Rattus norvegicus: one gene and its partner. The protein of the gene in region 1 purifies or fractionates together with the protein of each later gene. This does not show direct contact. Links are inferred from orthologs where the notes say so. Each region holds a gene or a part of one and is shown on either strand. Other genes may lie near its edges. The genes, in order: Lrfn4 and Nck2.

What was found.
Region 2: the proteins of Lrfn4 (region 1) and Nck2 purify together in Homo sapiens (co-immunoprecipitation; 3 studies listed by BioGRID and IntAct, counting the BioPlex papers as one, with this or other methods). This does not show direct contact. The link is inferred for Rattus norvegicus from reciprocal best matches to the Homo sapiens genes LRFN4 and NCK2.

Annotation. Positions count from the first base shown.
Region 1 is NC_086019.1:211,318,369-211,322,742, forward strand, and holds the start of Lrfn4 (leucine-rich repeat and fibronectin type-III domain-containing protein 4 precursor), read right to left. Parts: upstream 2,905-4,374; 5' UTR 2,745-2,904; intron 2,296-2,744; 5' UTR 2,286-2,295; coding exon 937-2,285; intron 461-936; coding exon 1-460. UniProt on the Homo sapiens protein: Promotes neurite outgrowth in hippocampal neurons. May play a role in redistributing DLG4 to the cell periphery.
Region 2 is NC_086027.1:53,205,511-53,209,863, forward strand, and holds the start of Nck2 (cytoplasmic protein NCK2), read left to right. Parts: upstream 1-1,468; 5' UTR 1,469-1,555; intron 1,556-4,353. UniProt on the Homo sapiens protein: Adapter protein which associates with tyrosine-phosphorylated growth factor receptors or their cellular substrates. Maintains low levels of EIF2S1 phosphorylation by promoting its dephosphorylation by PP1.

The DNA of each region.
Region 1 (4,374 bases):
TCCTCCCAGGCGCCTGGCATACCCGTAGCATCCACCGGTGTCTCCTAGGTCCAGGGAGCAGCTGCGCTGGGGACGGGGTGGAGGGCTCCGTGGTGGGTGGCTCTTGGGCATGGGGCTAGTGCCACCATTGGTCTGGGATTGGACATGGCTGAGTTTGAGTGGGAGGCGGCCATTCCCAGCTCCCCGGCCCCGAACCAGCAAGGCCACAGTGAAGACCAGTAAGGCAGCCACTAGGACGCCTCCCACTGCCACAGTCAGGGTCCCGCCCAGCACATGGGCCTGTAGGGCATGGCACAGGGGGGTGGCTGGTAGGGTAGAGAAGTGGGCACAGCCCAGCAGTCTAGTGGCCGTGAGGTCGGAGGGCCCAGCAGCAGGTGACAGGGCCAGCAGGCAGAGGTCGTAGTCAGCACCAGGAACCAGGTGCTTCAGCAGGAAGTGTTGGCTGGAGGCTGGTACAATCCTGTAGGCAAGGGCAGGTGGTCAGAGCCCCAGGGTGGGGTACAGCCCCCATTCCCTTCTTTCAGGTTTGCCCTGAACAGCCCCTCAGGCCTATAAGGCCCTGTCAACACACGCAGAATAGTGCCAGGGCAGGGATGGATGTGTGCACTGACACAGGCCTCAGGTAATAGGAGCTGGGGGTGGGGAATGGAACCAAGCAGAGGCAAAAATACCCTGGGGTGGGGGTCAGGTGCCTTAGCAGACACCCAAGCTGCTATCACTGATGGTCAGGAAGGCTGGCACATACAGCCTCACCTGAGACCCCTTAAAAAGCAGCCACACGTTTCTCTGCCCAAGCCATACTCCAAGAGTTTAGAAGTAGAGGAGCAGGCACAGGCCTGGAGGGGGAACAGGCAGAACTTGGGGGTACAGGGTCAGCAGGAAGGGAGGCACAGTGAACAAAGCAGGCTGAAGGGAGTGTGCAAGGCCCATCCTCACCGGTAGATGAGGGTCTCATCCTCGCTGCTGTTGTACTGGATTTGGAACATCCACACTGGGTCAGCTGGCCGCCCTGGGCCCCAGCTCACCAGTCCAGAGGTGGCAGTCACCTCTGTCACTTGCACGGCTGGTTCAGATTCTAAAGTTCCCTCGCCTTCAGCAGCAGTTCTAGCAGAGGCAGCAATGTCCGAGGGCCCAGGACGGCCCCCCTCAGCACTGGTGTTCCCACCATGGGGCAAGGCCAGTACCCGGAGCTCCACTCGGGCTGTGGCCTCACCGGCAGGGTTGGTAGCAATGCAGGTATAGGCTCCTGCATCTCCAGCGCCTGTCACCCCAATCTCTAGGGTCCCGTTGGGGAAAGCCCAGGCTCGAGAAGAGTTGCCAACCAGCCTGTCATCAGGACCAACCCAGTGCATGGTAGGTACAGGGTCACCAAGAGCCCTGCACCGTAGAGTGGCCCGCTGACCTTCTAGCACCCACAGGCGCTGTGTGTGTCGGGCAATCAGTGGAGGCTCACAGGAGAACTCTCCCTCAGGCACTGCCCAGAAGTAGCGGCCTGCCAGGGTTGGTGGAGAAGCGCAGGTTTCCAGGTCATCAGGCCGGGCCAGCCTCCGCAGCCACAGCAGCTCACAGTTGCAGTGCAGTGGGTTCCCGCTGAAACTCAGCACCAGAGGGGAAGGTGAGGCCTCAGCATCCCGACCCCGAGAGAAGAGTGGATCAGGTGCCAGGGTGGCCAGGCGGTTGGAGGTCAGGTCCAGGCGGGAGAGCTGGCTAAGCTGGGCAAAAACACCTGGGGGCAGCGCATCAATGAGGTTATGGTCCAGGTTAAGGGTATGCAGGGCAGGCATGGAGCCTATGCCAGCCCAGGGAACCTGCCGGAGATTGTTATAGGACACATCCAGGTCCTCGAGACTGTCAAGGAAGTCGTCGAAGGCCCCAGGAGCGATTCGGCCCAGCTGATTGCCACTAAGAATGAGGTGCTGGAGGTTGACAGGCCCCCGTAGGCTGCTGCTGCCCAGTTCCACCAGCCTGTTGCCATCCAGGTGCAAGGAGCGCAGGCTCTCCAGGTCCCCAAAGGAGCGGGCCCCGATGCGGGTGATGGCATTTCGAGACAATGTTAGGTCCACCAGCCCTGTCATGTTGCGGAAGTCAGGTGGTCCCAGGGCCTGGATGAAGTTGTCAGCCAGGCGCAGTTCAACTGTGCGCCTGTCCACGTTGGGTGGCACAAACAGCAGGCCTCGGTGGGCACAAAGGGTGCTGAGCGACTCCGACAGGTTCTGGCACACACAGGGCAGCGGGCAAGCAGCGGCTCCACTGGCCAGCAACAGCAATAGGAGCGGCGGGGCCATGGTGAGTGCCCTGTGGGAAAGGGCCGCAGCCCCAGGCACAGGTGGGGCTAGGGCAAGGGCCCACTTGTGCCCAGGGCACAGTCCCAGGAACCAGTTTCCAGAGTCTGAACTGGGGAAGATTTGGGTAAGATGCTCACGGAGGACCCCAGGGAGGAAAGATGGCTGGGGCTGCAGACTAAGGCCCCCCCAGAGTAAAGGTCACATTTCCCAAGCAGTTGAAGGGAGTCCAGGTACTGGGAACAAGGTGAGGCATGAGGCAGGAAGTGGAGGAGGGCCAAGAGCAGGGAGGGTCCGGGAACTTCCTCCTGGCATCCTCTGAAATGGCCAGCCCCCTCCCCCCTTCGTGCCTTCCCCTTCGTGGCTGAGGATGGCGTCCCCCAAATCCCTGGCGTGGACTGTGGCTCCTCCCCGGGCGGGCCTCCCTCTGAGCCCTGTCGGGGCGGGGGAGGGGGGGCTCACCTGGTGTCCGTCGCTCAGGGGGCTCGGGCTGGCCTCCCCGCGGACCCAGCCGGCCTCTGCCGACTCCAGGCCGCTCTCTCGCGGGAGCGAGGCCGGGCCCGCCAGCCGCGCGCCCTCCGGCCCATGGCGCTCGGGCCCTCGGCCCCGGCTCTCTCGGCTCCCGGCACCTTTTCTCCGCGCCGTTCGCGGTGGCGGCGGCGGCAGGCAGGCGGATGCGCGCTGACGGACACGCGCGCCACGAACACGCACGTGGAGGGTGGACCCGGAGGGGCACAGGGATCCAGCCGGGCCCCAGCCGGGTTCCGGAGGTCACGGGGACACGCGGCCACTGCAGCGCCCACGGGTGGCGCCCAGTCACGCCCGAGGCCGGACCAGGCCCTCCGCGTTGTCCCAAGGCGCTGCCGCAGCGCACTCACCCTGGCACGGGCGCGCGCGCCCTCGGCCACCCTGGCGCCCAAGCATCCTGTAACCGCTCAGGCGGGCGCCGCGGCTCTGCAGACAACCAGACAAAGCGCCAGCTCTAAGGCCCCTTTACCATCTCCCAGAGACGGGTCTTTGTCACATGTCTCTGGGCACCCTCCCCAACACGCCCACATATGCCCACACACCCACACGTCCCCGCACCCACGGGCAGGGCCGGGTGCAAACCCGCACTGTTACTGGGACCCTCGCGTTCGCAGATACACACTGAAGGTCACAACCGTTCTGCATCACCGCGTCACGTGAAGAATCCCCCACAGGTCCGGACCCTGGGGGGTGGGGGGCTGGGGTGGCGCCCCCAACAGGGCTTCTGCGGGTGGGGCCTGAGGGCTTGGCCACGGGACTGCCGTCGTGCCCCGCCCCGCCGCGCCCCTCCTTCCTCTCCTCGGTCTCCCTCCCGCCCTGCCCGGCGCTCCCCAGCCAACCGGCCTCCGCCTCTGGCTGGATTGGTCTGTGCTGCGCGGTTTCCCAGCAGGCTGGCTGTGGCACGCTGTTTGAAGCTGTGCGTCAGTGGTCCTCTCTGTGTCATAGCTCCGCCTCCCCTCTTCTAGAGGGGCCTCTTCCTAGGGAATGTGGTTCGAACGGTCAGAAATGTGAGGTGGACTCAGAACCAAGTTGGGTATCTTGTTTGTCTCCCAGGAATGGTTCACTTAGCTGGGATGGGAAGTTACCACCTCCTGCGGGGCATCTCCTCCTCTCAGACTACCTGGGCCCCTTCTTCCTATTTCCCTCCCTCCGTACCTGAATCTAAGGAGTGCGTGGGTGCCAGGAACTGGGGGAGAAAGAGATTGGATTCTAGTCCTGCCTGGTACAGCTGCACAGCCCTGAGCAAGTTCCTTACCCACAGAAACGGTTTTCTCACGGAGACCTAGGGCTGCTAGTTGCCTGTACTGTTCACACCTAAGGAAACCTTGCAGCTTGAGGGGCTTAAGTCCTTGCAGCTGGAAGCCTCTGCTTGGCTTGTTGCTGGGACACCCCAGCTGTTGGAAAAGTAATTTGGATCTTTCTTTAGTCCGGTCAACTGTGATATGAGGTGGTGCCAGATACTTCTTTTTCTAACCCTAAAGAGTTTCCATTCACTCCAAATACACACATATTCTAGTTTGTTGTGTGTTGTTACCCTGCTGTGGGAACCTGGTGGTCTCTGGCC
Region 2 (4,353 bases), on another chromosome or scaffold:
AAGACCCTGTCCCTGTTGTCCTACTTATTTAGCATAAACTAATTTTAAGTGGGGCTAAACTATTGATTAGAGCTCTGCTTTCATTGTTGCAAAGCTAGATAGTAACAAGATGAGGTCTGCATCAAAGGATGAAGTTAGCGTCTCTGACTGGAAGAGACTGTTGGGTATGCTAATTTTGTATCTGATTCCTCCCAATGCCCTAGTATCGGCTACATGCCAGCTACTTTACATAGAGGGCAGGTAAACATCTCATGTGTTAAAGCTGAGGAAGTTGTGAAAGACTTATGTAAGGTGACACAGTTCAGGTAGCCTACAGTCAAAGGCTGCTATGACGATGGTGCCAAGCTTCCTCAGATTACTTATGCCTGGGAACTTCCTTTAGGGAGGGAGGCAGCTGCCTGGTCACTTAAGGTGTATTGCTGCTGCCTTCCTTAATAAGGAGGAGCCAAGAGATAGGGTAGAATCTCATTAACATAAACGTGAGTTGTCCAACCGGAAAACTGAATTCATTTGAATATCAGTGTTTCCTTTGGGGAATCATGAGTGAAGGAGCTTGGAGAAGGAACATCTGGATTCTGGTGTGTAAGGTATATGTGTTCCTTCCCCTCGCTCTAGGGTTCTAGCTTTCCAAGTTTGCTTACAGGTTAGCTATTACTCAAGGCTGGGAGAGAGAGACTTCCTTCTAAAGCTTTCTCAGCCTCCTGTACTAAAGAATTCCGGGGCTTTAAGAAGCTGGCCAGGGCGCTGCGGAGGCAGCAGAGGTCGGGTTTCCTCTCCTCCCCCCCCCCACTAGGAAGTGGTCCCGCCTGGGGGGCCGGGGGTGGGGTGGAGTAAAAAAGTGTCTGGATGGGAAAGTAAATAAATGCAAGGCAAATAAATAAAGAAAATGCCCACAAGCAATTACTGGGAGGAAGTGACATTTTCACGTAAGTCACTTTTCTGACAGACACCAGGCCTGTTTGGCTGAGAGTGCCGTGGGAATGCTTGGGGGGAGGCGGGGTAGGGAGATCGCTGTAAGAATCCAAGGCACAGCCGGGGTGCGGAGACCACCGGGTCTCGTGTGCTGGAAGTGGCCCTTCATTCTCCCTTGCAGCCCCTCCCGTGTGCCCCCAACTCCAATTTAGAACGGGTTACGGCTTGAAGCCCGCAGGCGGCGCTTTCCCTAGGCCTGGCCGGGACTCCCAGGTGGGTACCCCGCCCCGCGTGCGCCGGGATGGGCCGGCCCCTGGGCGGCGTCACGGCAGCCGGGGAGGAGCGCGGGCGGGGAGCGCGCGGAGGCGGGCGCTGCGCGGGAGGGTCGCCGCCGCAGATCGCAGGCCGGTGCGCGCGGCCGAGCGGGCGGCGGCGGCGGCGACAGTGGTGGTGGGGTGGGCTCGGCGGCGGGCAGGCTCGGGGCTCCCGGGCCGGCAGGGTCCGCCGGGTCCAATTGCGTCCGCTTGGTGGCGGGAGGAGGGAGCGGTGCAGACAAAGAGCGGCATCTGGGCGGGCGCAGCGCGGCCGCCGCCCCGGGACTAGCGCTGCTGCCCTCCGGCCTCGGCGTGCACTGTGCAGCGAGGTAAGGCGATGGCGGGGGCTGCAAACTTGGGCCGGTCGGTAGAGTTGGAAGAGAGGGGTGGGCGGGCCGGGGCCGCCCTGGGAGGGCCAGGGAGCGCGTACCCCTGCGCACCCGGCTAGTGCCCTCGGCCCCGGCGCGGCCTGCCGTCCCCGGGCACCCGCACCTCGGATACACACCTTCCTGCGAGCCCTCGCCTCCCTCAGCCTCGGGCTGGCGTGGGGGTGGGGCGCCCTCCGCGGGCAGACAACGGGGACCAAGGACCGAAAGCCCTCGGGAACACAAGCAACCCTGGCCTGCCGGCGGGCGTGGGACCGAACCTTGGTCGAGTCGCCGGGCGCGCGTGCCTGGGAAGAATAGCCTAGGATCCGAGGGCTACAGCGCTAGGAAGCGGGAGGCTGCGATGGCCGGGGAGAACTTACTGTACTTCGTGATCCGGCACAAAGCTGCTGTCACGTTCTCTAAAGGAGGTCTTTGCCTCGGCTCAGGGCGCTTTTGTGCCTGGTTCCAGTCCCTGCGCCCGGTCCCGCATTTCCAAGACTTAAACCTCTTGAACCAAAGTTTTTCCCAGTTGTTCTGCCCCCTTAGTTTATTCAGGGCGATTTAAGCAAGTGGTTCTGCAAGAATTTGATGTGTGACTTTTAATGTCCCGATGGCACCTCCCTTTTGAGCACTTTTAGCTTGGCATTGTGTGAAGGGGTTTGATTTGGAAAACACTTATTTATACACAACAACGATTCTCCCGGAAGGTGTGCGCGGGTGGTGGCTAATGGATAGCAGACGTGACTTAACAGTAGTATTGTGAACAGCTTGGGAACACAGCTGGGCGCCAAGTGGAATGGGCCCTGTCACCGTAGCCCATTCAGGTCGGCAGCTTCCTCCGTATTTGACTTTCCTTATTTTGCTAACAGGTTTAAGGCCGGTCTTGCCAACTTTGCATCTGTGTGTGTGGTGAACAGGTCCGAGTTTGGGCTGGAGGTGCACAGGCCGCCTCCTTGGTTGACCCAAAAAGAAACAGCCCATTGACCAGTGGGCGTGGCTTGCTGGTACCCTCCCTTGGAGACTTCTCTGCTCCTCACCCACTGAAGGCTTTTCTGCTGGGATTTTGAAGAGGAATGAGAATAATTTTGGGTGTGTTTCAAGCCTGGGTTTTTTGGTATAGTTAGCAACAGTGGTTTTCCAGTCTAAAGGTCACTACTTTATCAGAACATCTGAACTGCGCTGTGGGCACTCCCTCCATTCACTTTCCAAGTTTATAGATACAGACTTAGAAACAGGACTTTCGTGCTTGTGCCTGGTTTATGTAGTGAAGGCAGCCAATGGACACATGGAGAAGGTGCACTTTAGACAGTTAAGGTTTTAGACCTTCGGGTCTTTCCTAAGTGACCACAAGGGACAATCCCGCCTTAAACTTTCTCACCTCCTGGTAGGTTCCTGTAGTTTTGACTGAAGAAAGTAAAGGTCGAAGTGATCTGAAGCTGAATTGAGAACTTTGTGCAGCTGTAAAGTTTTGAGTTACAGCTTACTGCCTGTCTTGCTCTCAGCTTCTGAAATGTGCTTGAACAGAGTCCCGTTTTTCAGGATTGGAAGTTGCTATGAGAGCTCTGGCCACTTGATAGGTGATTTGCCCACTTGTGGAGAAACTGACCTCATAAAAATGGGTAGAGCTTATAAAAGGTGGTTTCCAGCTCCTGGTCGTCTGTTTTCAGTCCTTTTCCAGGCTTTCAGTTTTGCTTTTCCCAGCAGTCCTTGCTTCCGTCTCCATCCTCCTTTTCTCTTTGACCCTGTCATATTCCTGACCTCTGTCATGTACGTTGGGGTACTGAACATTCCCGACAAACAGCAATGCCCAGGTGTTTGAGAAAATGTGCTTTGATCCTTGTTAAATCTCCCCAGCTCTTTCCAATGTTGGAGCAGACTGGACCCCTTGAAAACAGCCATGAGACTCACTGATTGCGTAGCGACCTGGAGGTCTTTATTTGATCACTTGCATTAGCTTAATTTGCCCTGGCAAGACCAGACTTGGTTGCTCTGTAGGGCACATATGCTTCTAAGTGACTGGCTTGCAGTGTGCACTGGGGCTGACATGACTTGTGGAAATGATTTTCTGATGTTCAGAATGAGCCTTAATGACTGAAGAATTCAAGACTGCTTGTCCCACGTGCGGAACAGTGCAGTGAACAGTGTTGGGAGAAGCTCATAAGCTAACTCTTCTTTACAAAAGAACTGGGAAGCTTCCACTAGAGACTTAGGAAATGAGTTTTCCCATCCAGAGGGACTTCAAATGTTGCTTCAGAATTATTTCTCCTTCCTAAAAATGAGTGATGGAAACACTTCTCAGGGTGTTTTCAAAGGGCATAAGTGAAAAAAAAAAAAGACAACATTTGTGCTGTTATGTGTAAGTTAGGTGGCTCAGAGGAGGTCAAAGCAGTCTTTTAAAACAAGCTATCAGAGGTATGCAGCCCTGGTGAAAATAATTCATTTCTTTAGGCCATCAGAATAGTGCAATTTTTAAAAAAGACTTTTTTTATTTTTCAACAATTCACTTTGGACAAATCACAGAGAACGTGATGGTAGAGTCTTTTTAGGGAACCATACCCACATTCCCACCCCTCCTCCCACTTTCTTCTGAAGTAGACTTCCTGAGATTCTCAGTGCTCCAGGCCATGAAAAATACTCTTTAGGTCGACATAGCAGTGCCACACTAGGGTTACGGTGGTATTTCCATCGAGGACCTGGGTAGCCGCCCAAGAGGGAACTAGTTACTTTCCCAGATTTTATGGCTGTCTTAACTTTCATCT